2 linked regions of the Diceros bicornis minor genome follow. The protein of the gene in region 1 interacts with the protein of each later gene in a biochemical or structural test. Links are inferred from orthologs where the notes say so. Each region holds a gene or a part of one and is shown on either strand. Other genes may lie near its edges.

What was found. The genes of interacting proteins can lie anywhere in the genome.
Region 2: the proteins of NFKB2 (region 1) and BCL3 form a complex in vitro, tested with the Homo sapiens proteins (2 studies listed by BioGRID). The link is inferred for Diceros bicornis minor from reciprocal best matches to the Homo sapiens genes NFKB2 and BCL3.

Annotation. Positions count from the first base shown.
Region 1 is NC_080745.1:67,377,255-67,382,338, forward strand, and holds the start of NFKB2 (nuclear factor NF-kappa-B p100 subunit), read left to right. Parts: upstream 1-1,807; 5' UTR 1,808-1,913; intron 1,914-3,044; exon of another isoform or gene 3,045-3,229; 5' UTR 3,230-3,301; coding exon 3,302-3,322; intron 3,323-3,593; coding exon 3,594-3,678; intron 3,679-3,795; coding exon 3,796-3,836; intron 3,837-4,096; coding exon 4,097-4,195; intron 4,196-4,274; coding exon 4,275-4,426; intron 4,427-4,681; coding exon 4,682-4,788; intron 4,789-4,876; coding exon 4,877-5,035; intron 5,036-5,084. UniProt on the Homo sapiens protein: NF-kappa-B is a pleiotropic transcription factor present in almost all cell types and is the endpoint of a series of signal transduction events that are initiated by a vast array of stimuli related to many biological processes such as inflammation, immunity, differentiation, cell growth, tumorigenesis and apoptosis.
Region 2 is NC_080773.1:19,124,690-19,129,773, reverse strand, and holds the start of BCL3 (B-cell lymphoma 3 protein), read right to left. Parts: upstream 3,670-5,084; 5' UTR 3,515-3,669; coding exon 3,259-3,514; intron 1,514-3,258; coding exon 1,360-1,513; intron 1-1,359. UniProt on the Homo sapiens protein: Contributes to the regulation of transcriptional activation of NF-kappa-B target genes. In the cytoplasm, inhibits the nuclear translocation of the NF-kappa-B p50 subunit.

The sequences.
Region 1 (5,084 bases):
TTGGCAATAGATTTTAGCTCAGGGCTGGTCTTCCTCAGCAAAAAGAGGAGGATTGGCATGGATGTTAGCTCAGGGCTGATCTTCCTCACAAAAATAAAAAAATTAAAAAATCCAGGCCAGCGCTGGGAATTGGTGGAGCTGACTGATGGGTAAATAGGGGTTCATTATACTATTTCTCCACTCTTTATATGTTTGAAATTTTCTATAATAAAGGTTTTGCTTTTTAAAAATCTTCAGGTAAATTACATCTCAGAATCTTATAACTAAAATAGCTCAACCTCTTTGGGTACTTTTAGAGACATTGTGGAGACTGGAAGAAGTCATGCCAATTTCAACTGGTGGTTTATGAGCACTTTGAAAGGACAGTCGTGATCAGTGGCAATCAGCACAGGTTCACAAAGTTGGAGTATACCAAACTAACCTCATTCCAGGTTAAGAGTTAAGGATCTGATTTACCAGGGGCCTATAGTGGACAATATCCCTGGATTTCAGCAAATTGTTTGATAGTATCTTATATTTACTTGAGAGGCCCACAGTGGGGTGGAAAGGCCTGCTTTGTTTTATATAGATTTGGGGAAAAGAGCTTCGTCCTAGAGTTAACAGACTGGTTTGAATTCTCACTTTTTCCTTTTCTAGCTGTGTATTTGGTTGTGTTACTTCACCTCTCTGAGCATTAATTAATTTATTCATCAGTAAAGTAAAGGTAACATTTACCTTCTAGGGTTGTTGGGAGGAAGAATAAGAACTTATACTAAAGTACCTTAACACAGTACCTAGCACATTTCATTTTCCAGCAAGATGAAGAGGAGGGGGAAGTAACAGGAAATAGAGAGTCCAAATTAAGGGCCATAATGATCTCCCTTTATGCAGAGCTAGTGCGGGCCTGTAATACCATTAGGAAGAAGGGCAGGGATAAATTGCGGGAAAGATCTGAAGCAACAGCCTGTGTTCCACCGTGAGCCTAAGGGAGGATGACTCCAGGAATGGAGATTACTCACGGAATCGCCTAAAGAGAAACTCTACCAACCAGAGATGTCCAGCCTAGGAGTCAGTACTTTGTGAAATCCTATACTGACCTTGCTGCCACTAGTGTTCAAGAGGACGTTGAGAAATATATAAAACGCAATTTCCTACATCGGAAGAATTTTGACCTATTGAGATTTTGCACGCGTTTTCAATTCTGATATGAGCTCCTGAGCTCAAGCGGGTCTGAAAGTCTGGCTCGCTATGAACCTGCCATTTATATAAGAGGTTTTAGGTCGGGATTGTCCCTTCCAGGGGAGGATTACGGAGATTCCGTGAGGCTCCAGAAAGGCCGCCAGATGGCGCCCTGCGACCGACTGAAAAATCAACTTCCTTCCTCTTCCCCTAACTCTTCCTGGCAGCAGGGTCCCGCTCCGAGCGGGGGACCGCAGGGCTGGGGCCCGCCAGCTTCCCCCTGGGGTTCCCCAGCTTCAGAGGTGGCCAAGCGTTAGGCACAGCATAAGCCAAGTAGCAGACTGGGCTGCCAGCCGTCTGGGGCAGGCCTGGGTGGGTGAGAAGACCGGAGCCGGGGCCCTCGGCCCGGGAATGACAGTCAGTCAGCGGATCCCGCCTCAGGCTGATCCCCCAGCCAGAGCTCACGGCTGGGTGACAGGCATCCCCACTCCCGGCTCCCCGCGCTGCGCGAATCTTTTCCCCTCTAAGAGGCGCACCTGAGTCGCTCCCGATTGGCTGCGCGAGTCCGGGAGTTAAACTTTCAGCCAATGAAAAAGGGCATGGGGCGTGACGCACGCACACGTCACGGGAATTCCCCCCTCCCGGGGGCGGAAAAGGGGCTTTCCCGGCTGGAGCCCTGGTGGCTGGAGAGGTGTCGCGACCCGTCCGAGGTGGGTCGGGCCGGGAGAGAAGCCGGAACCGGAGCCGCCGCCGCGGTGAGTGGCCAGGTCCAGACCTCCCGGGTGCCCGGGACACGGGGAAGGGCGGGAAGAGGGCCCTTACCTGACTCTGAGCCCGGGGCTGGAGAGCGGCTTATGCACGCGCGCGCGCGCGCGAACACACACGCACAGATCACACACACGAACAAGACACACAGATACACATCGACATCCTTGTACAAAGACATGCCGACCCGTACGTACACCTACACGTATGCCAGCGTGTGTATAGCATTGCCCATGCACTCGACTCGCACACACATGCACACGCAAACATGCTCCCACAGATGTCTGGACCCATACTATTCACGCACAAACTCAAAGACAGGTTCACCTGTGCCCTTACATATCAAGACATGCTCAGGCATGTGTCCACACTGAGAAGTTTAAGGACGCTCACCTGTACACAGACATGCTCACTGGCACACGCGTGTTGACGCCATGCACACACAACACGCACGCAAGCACATGGGCCGAAACACACTTGTATACCTGTGATGGAGAGACACACATGTATTACACACGGCTCGGACTGGGGCGGGGGTCGTGGGCACGCAGAGCAGGTGCAGTGGGAGAAGCAACAGCTGTTAAGATGTTTCGGGGAGAGGTAATAGAGGAGCCCATCCCAAGGAAGAGACACCTTTCCTCCCCCCGCCCCGCGGCCCCAGAGTCCGGTTCTCGGGGCAGAACCCCGGGGCCCCCCACTGGGAAGAGCCCCCGCCTACAGGCCTTCGGGGAGGAGGCCTTCCTACAGCAGGAATGTCCCCCCAAAAGCCCCCAGGGTGAATCAGCCGTGGCCTCCCTCGGGGTAGAAAATCCCAAGGTTGCTCCAGGACGGGGGAGGGGATGGAGGCAGACGTGGACGCGGACTGGAAGCCTCCCCCGGCCATGAAAGACCCTCTGGTCCCCGGCGCCTGCCTGGAGGGAGGAGGGGGCCCAACCCACACGGGGGCTTCCCTGGGGTCTGGTTGCCCCTCTGCCCACTGAGAGGCTACGGGCGCCCGCAGGCCAGAGAAGACCGCGCGCCCCTCCCGCCGCGGGGGCGTGGCCAGTGGCGTCATTTCCAGGCCCGCCCCCTCCGGCCCCGCCTCCCCGCTGGTATTTTCGGGACTTTCCTAAGCTGTTCTAACTTTCCTGCCCCTTCCCCGGCCCAGCCCAGCCCAGCTCCGGATCTCGCCCTCCACCGGATCTCGCCCGCCACACCCGGACGGGTGGCTGGAGGAGATCGGACCCTCCCCCAAATCTGGGCCCCCCTTTCTCCCCCCACTCTCGTCCTGATCTCTCTCTCTCCCCGCCACTCCCCCCCACCTAAGGCGGGCGCCTGAAACTCTGGGAAACAGAACCCGGCCGGAGCCACCAGATAGAGCCGGGCCTAGCCCAGAGACATGGAGAGTTGCTACGACCCAGTGAGTCACGCCACCTGACCTGAAGCCGGCGGCTGCCCCCCTGTGTTTGTCTGCTTGTCTGCCTGTCTGTCCGAGTCCCCTCTGCTCCCCTACGCCTGTAATGCCCTCGGATTACCTCAGCCTGCTTATCAGTCTGTCTGCAAAGTTTCCAATAGGAGCTTTCTTATGGGCCTGGGAAGGAGAGGGAGTGATTAGTAAGGGCTTCGAGAGCTGGGAAGTGGAGGGCTCTGGAGGTGGCTCAGAATCAGCTGCCACCTGTCTCTCTCCAAAGCAGGGTCTGGATGGTATCATTGAATATGATGATTTCAAATTCAACCCATCCATTGTAGAGCCCAAGGAGCCGGCCCCAGAGACAGGTTAGTAAGTCCCCTAACATCCCCTTGTCTTAGAGGGAGGGGGAGGGAGGAGCATGTGCCCTCTGCCTTGGGGATGGGCTCAGAGATCCTGGCTTAGCAAGGCCCCTCTGTCCCCAGCTGATGGTCCCTACCTGGTGATCGTGGAACAGCCTAAGCAGGTGAGTGAGTGGAAGGGATGGTGTAGGATGGCTTCAGCTTTGGGAGCAAGTGGGGTAGTTGTAGCTGGGTGGCCATGGGGAGGGTCACTGACCACAGAGGCCACTTTGGGTTGGGATGATTGGCTGCTGCTGATCACAGTGGTGTGGTTGTGGTTCAAGACCAACACTACCAGTCATTATGGTCACTGCTGGCTGGGGGTATGGCTGGCTTGGGGGGAGTCTCTCCTGGTCACAATGTCACTCTGCCCTGGGACCTTCAGCGAGGCTTCCGATTTCGATATGGCTGTGAAGGCCCCTCCCACGGGGGACTGCCAGGTGCCTCCAGCGAGAAGGGCCGGAAGACTTATCCCACTGTCAAGGTGAGCCAGGATGGTGCTGGAGGGTGGGCTAGTGGATAGTGTGTCCAGGGGCGTTACTGACAGCCCTCACCCCTCTCAGATCTGTAACTACGAGGGACCAGCCAAGATCGAGGTGGACCTGGTAACACACAGTGACCCGCCTCGTGCTCACGCCCACAGCCTGGTGGGCAAGCAGTGCTCGGAGCTGGGGGTCTGTGCCGTGTCTGTGGGGCCCAAGGACATGACTGCCCAGTAGGTGCCCTCTGCCCCTGGCCCCCACTGGCTTGCCCCCTCATTGCCTGCCAGTCCGAGGCCCCAGCCCACCTCTATGAGCTTAGCATCTGACCAAGGGGAGAGACTTAGGCTGGCCCCAAAACCCAAGGCCCCAACTGAAAACCAGAAAAACTTCCTAGAGGAAGTGGGGCTGAGCTGAGCCCTGGTGGTGGGGAGGGTGCCTTAGGAGGAAAGAACTGCCTGTAAAGCCTCTGACTCCCCTGCCCCCACCAGATTTAACAACCTGGGCGTCCTGCATGTGACGAAGAAGAACATGATGGAGATTATGATACAAAAACTTCAGAGGCAGCGACTCCGCTCCAGGCCCCAGGGCCTTACGGGTATGGAGGAGAGGGAGGGAGTCATGAGAGGTGGTCATGGAAGGAGTAGAGGAGGAGTCCAGGGGTCACGTCTGTGCCCATTGCCCAGAGACTGAGCGGCGGGAGCTGGAGCAGGAGGCCAAGGAGCTGAAGAAGGTGATGGATCTGAGCATTGTGCGACTGCGCTTCTCCGCCTTCCTTCGAGCCAGCGACGGCTCCTTTTCCCTGCCCCTGAAGCCAGTTATCTCCCAGCCCATCCACGACAGCAGTGAGTATCCTGACCACCTGGCGTGCCACAGGGAAATGGGGGCAACCTC
Region 2 (5,084 bases), on another chromosome or scaffold:
GCCCCCAGGCTGCGCCAGCTGCCCATTCCGGTAAAGTCTCGGCCCCCAGCGGAAGGGGTTAAGGTTAGAGGGAGCGCCAGGAGGGGGAGGCTGCGAGTGAGTGACGGGTGCTGACGTGGGGGAGGCCGAGCAGCTGGGCTGCGGTCAAGTTCTGCGGGAAGGGATTTCCCCCACAGGCAGCTGAGGCAGAAGTGTTTGCTTTGGGGGAGAAGGGGGAGAGGGGGGAGCGCGGGGGAGGGCGGGTGGGGCGCGGGGCTGGAGGCTGGTGTGCCAGGTCGCCTTCTGCACCCTGCTTTCACAGGCTGCAAACAGCTCACCCCTGGGGGCAGAGACAAACGAAATCGATTTCACAGATGACCCGGGAGGGACACAGAGGGGGAGGGAACTCGCTTGATCGAGCCCTTTATGTGTCTCAGGCACTTTCTCCGGCTTGGGCTCACACTGGCGGCCCATAACCACGCGGGGAACCTCTGTTCGAACACCACCCACCCCCATGTATTGAGCACCCACTCTGTTCTATGCACCATACGTATGTACATTATTGCACTGAATCCTCATTGTGCTGGGTGCTACCCTGAGCCTTGATTTCCAGATAGGGAAACTGAGGCTTAGGGATGTGAAGTCACCCAGTGGGCCGGTGGTGGAGGCCTCCCTTGTCCTGCAGACATAGGCCTGTTCATCCCATCCCTACCTATGGTTCCCAGTCCCCAATTCCCAGATAGGCACTTTATAGAAATCATCTCATTTCTGCCTCACAGAGACCCTCGCACACATGTGGTTCCTGTTTTTACAGGGGGAAACTGAGGCAGAGAGGGATGAGAAAGTAGCCAGCTGAGAAACTATTTCTATTTCTATTTCTAGACTAGAAAACACCAAAGCGGATCTCATGTAATAAGGATGAGTATTGTTTTGTTCTGGGCAATTATTTTTTCAAGTTTATATGTGTGTATATGCACTGGGTTTAATATAAAGTAGCAATAATAATATTAATTAATACTTATTGAGCACTTAGAATCTACCGGGCTCAGGCTAGGAGCTTAACATTATAACTCATATGATCAATCAGTCAATGAAATGTCTTTCTCATTTGGGGATTGTGATAAAATATGTGAAGCCCCCTGCCCTGAAAACAGTCCTAGGAGGTACGTGCTCTCAGGGGCCCCGTGTTTCAGAAGCGGAAACTGAGGCTCAGAGAGGGAAAGGGCCTTGCTTCAAGTCACACAGCAGGTGGTGGAGACAAGATTCTAACTGGGGTGGAGGGAACTCGACAGCCCAAGCTGAGTGCCCCTGTGTGGCGGTGGGTGAGGTGGGTGGAGGACTGGCTTCCCCACCCCCCATCAGCGGGGGACTGTTACTCACGTGTCTCCGTCCTCATCTGCACGGGTTGCCATGGCGATGTCAGCCGACAGGGGATGTTCCATGGGGCACACCATGGGGTACAGGGGCGTAGGCAGGTTCAGCAGAGGAAAGGGGGAGCCCATGGTCGGGGTGGGGTACAGGGGCAGTATAGGTCCTGGGCAGAGAAAGAACGTGAGTGAGGCCAAGCCCGCAGACCCTCAGCCCAGCCCCGACCTGTGGGCCTTCACCCCTGCTGGTGTCACCTGCACTTTTTCCAGGTCACTTTTGCATCTCCTACTGGGTCCTCAAGGCCCAGAACAATCTCCCCTTCCACGTCCCTCCTCTGGGCTCCAGCAGCTTCCCCCCAACCCTGTCCCCCAGCCCTCGTCACTCTCATTGTGACTTATCTTTTCATGTGTCTGACCCCCACCTCCTACTAGGCAGAGACCCCCATCATCACCCAGCAGGGGGACCCCAGGGCCTGTTTGCTGAGTGAATTTGTGGCTCAGAGAGGTAAGAATGGATGAAGCACTGGGTATAGGGCGTGGGGTGCATGCGTAGAGAGTTTGGGGTGAAGGGTGGGTGAGGAGGTGAGCAGGGGTGCCAGGAGCCTGTTCAGATCAAAGTGTTGGACAGGACCATGGCAACCGTCAAATCTGTATGGGCGCATCACACAGATGGGAAAACTGAGGCCTGGCTTCTCACCCAGGGAATGGGAGAGAGAGGAGGCCGCCTGATGCACAGCTCGAGGCTATCCAACTGCTCTGCGCTGATGGAGTGGAAGGTGCAGAAACTGGGCAAAGGTCTGCAGGCACTGGGCGGGCTCTCTGCAGCCTTGGGGGTCACTCGGGGATGGTGAGGTACGCACAGCTGTGGAAGGGGATGCCCCTTCCTCGAGATCACAGATGGAGTCAGGATGGGGAGAATGGCGTTTGGCCTTCTCTGTCATCTCCCGATCCTTGGGGACCCCCCATTCCTGAACCCCCAAGTTTCCAGGTCTCTGTATCGGCCTTCTGCCCAGCGACCCCTGAATCCTTCATCCTGGCCTAAATCCTTGAGTCCCAGAATACCCCAGTCCTGCCCCCCATTCCCAGAATCCTCAGTCCCCAAACCCCCTCGGGCCACCTGACTTTTTGATCTCAGATGAGACCTTGTCCCCTTGTGACCACACATAACCGGATCTCTGTCCCACTGGATCTCTGTCCCACTGGATCTCTGTCCCACTGGATCTCTGTCCCACTGGCTCCTCAAGACTGCCAGTACCTGGGTCTGTTTCCTTCAATCCCGTGATGCCTGGATATTGGGGTGCTCAGAACTCCAGCTCTGTTCTAATTCCCACTGTTCTCTGATATCTTGGTTCCTGAGATCTTCACACCCTGGGGTCCCTATTAGCTGTCTCCTTAGAACCCCCATCTCTGTTCCCCTGACCCCCTCTGACCCCACATATCTGGATAGCAAGAACCCCAGTTTCTTGGGCCCAAGTACCAACTTCGTATAACCCTAGATATATGGGTTCTTAAGAGCTTATAATTCCGTGTTCCTGGGACCACAGGACCTGCTCCCTTGATTCTCTGAGATCCCAGATCTGTACTGCAGGGCACTGTACCCTGGGTCCCCACGTCTGTGGCATTCAGACCCTGGGCTCTGTCCCCAGGGCCCCCTAACACCCACTGCCTAGGACCCTCATATTTGCAGTCCCAAAACACTGCTCCCCGGTGCTCCCATATCTGTGTCCTGGGACCTCAGGCTCTGCCCCCAGCTCCCCAGCAACTCCATATGTGTGTCCTTGGGACCCTGGATTCTGTGCCCCTGTCCCTCAGCTCCATGGGACCCATATGTGTGTCTGAGCTCTGCCCCGCGCTCTGTGACCCTGTGCCCCGTCTGGCTCCCACCCGGCCCTGACCCGCGGGAGCCACTCACCAGGGTAGTAAACCGCCTCAGGCCGGGCCAGGCCGTGGGGGGGCGCGGGGACCGCCGGCATGTCGGAGCCGCCGCGCAGGGGATCCGGGGGGACGAGCGGGCCCGTGGCGGCGCGGGGGGCGGCGGGCTCAGGGGAGGGCGCGCGGAGCGGGCGCTTGCGGAGCGGCAGCGCGGCGCCCGGGGGGCCGGCGGCCTTGGGCCGGGTGCGCAGGTCTACGGGCCCCTCGTCCATGGCCCCTGCGGGGCATCGGGGCATGGGGCCGCCGGGGACGGCGGCCGAGCGGGCGGCCGGAGCGCGGCTCGGCTCGGCGGCACGGGAGGGTGGTTGCGCCGGGCGCCGGGACTTCCCCTGCCGCCGGCTGAACTGAAGGGACTTTTGTCGGCCGGGGCGGTGCCGGCCGCCCGCCTCCCCGCCCCCGGCCCCCCCGGGGCCACCCGTCCGCCCCAGGGGTTTCCTGGACCCGCCGCCGCTCCGCCGCCCCGCGCTGCCTCCGCCGTGCGCCCCGCCCGCGCCGCGCCCCGCGCCCGCCCCTCCCGCCCCGCGCGCCCAGGGCGCCCGGCCTCTGCGGGGGGCGGGGGCGGGGTGGGAAGGAGGCGGGGTCGGGGGTGGGGGTCCCACCCCTGCGGTGCGGCCTGTCTCCGTCGCCGTCTCCGTGTGTGTCTTTCTGTCTCTCTACCGCTGCGCCTCTAACTCCGTCTCTGACCCTCCTGTCCCGATAGGTGTCTCTCCGAGCCTCTGTCTCTGTGTCTCTGTTCTCCCACTGTCTCTATTGTCTCTGTGTCTCTCCCCATCTCTCTGTCTCGAGTGCTGTCTGCCTCGCAGCCTCTGCCCCAGGGAGGCACTTCCATGAGGCCCCGGGGTCGCTGGGACGCGGGGTCGAGTCCCGACTCCCACTTCCTGGCCGGGTGACCTTGGCAGGGCACTTCCCTTCTCTGAGCCGCTTCCTCCAGTGCGAGGGCGAGGAGTGCCCTGGGAGGCGCCCTGGCACCATTCCTCTGCCTGCCCTGCCCCCACCTCTGCCTCTCCATGTGCCTCCCCGGCCGCGGCCTGAACTTCGCTGGGGTGGGGGGCGATGGCGAGTGCGCAGAGGAGCCCTGAGTGTGTCTCCCCGCGTGGGGTCCCTGCACCCGGCCCGAGCACCGGGCACCGGGTGGGTGCTCTGGGAATCCTGGACGCACGGAGAGAAAGAGACGTGGCGACACAGCCACACAGATCGTGAGACACCAAGCAAAAGAGAGACAGAGAGATAGCAAGAGACGCAAAGACGCAAGATCAGAACCGGAGCGACCCAAGTCCGGGCCTGGGGGGCGCAGTGATGCTCCCCCTCCCTTCCCCCTCCCATCCCCCTCCCATCGCGGGCAGGGTTGGTGGGTGGGGAACAGGCCGGGCGGGTTGGGGGCATGACTCAGAGGCAGGCTGGAGCCAGGGGGTGGATGGAGGGGCGGAGGCTGGCCTGCTCCCGGCCCCTCCCCTCGCGCCCTTCTCCCCGCCCCGGGGAGGGGCCTGGCGCGCGGGGCTTTCCCGGATTTCCCTGGAGGCGGGGCCGTCGCCGGGGTTGAGCCCCGGTCACTGAGTTACGGGAGGCGGAGGGGGAGGCTTTGGGGACCTCGGGGGACAGGGAATGGGGGCTGCACCCCGGGTCTGTGCAGGCGGCACGCAGGGGCTCCCTGGTTCTCTCTCTGTGTCGCCCCCTGTCTCTGCGACTCTGTCCCTCCATCCCTGGCCTCCCTCTGGAGGGCTCCGGCCCCGCCCCCGTCTCTTTGTCTCCCGCTCTCTGTCTCTGTCCCTGTCTCCCTGGCACCGTTGAGACCCTGAAAGTGGGTGT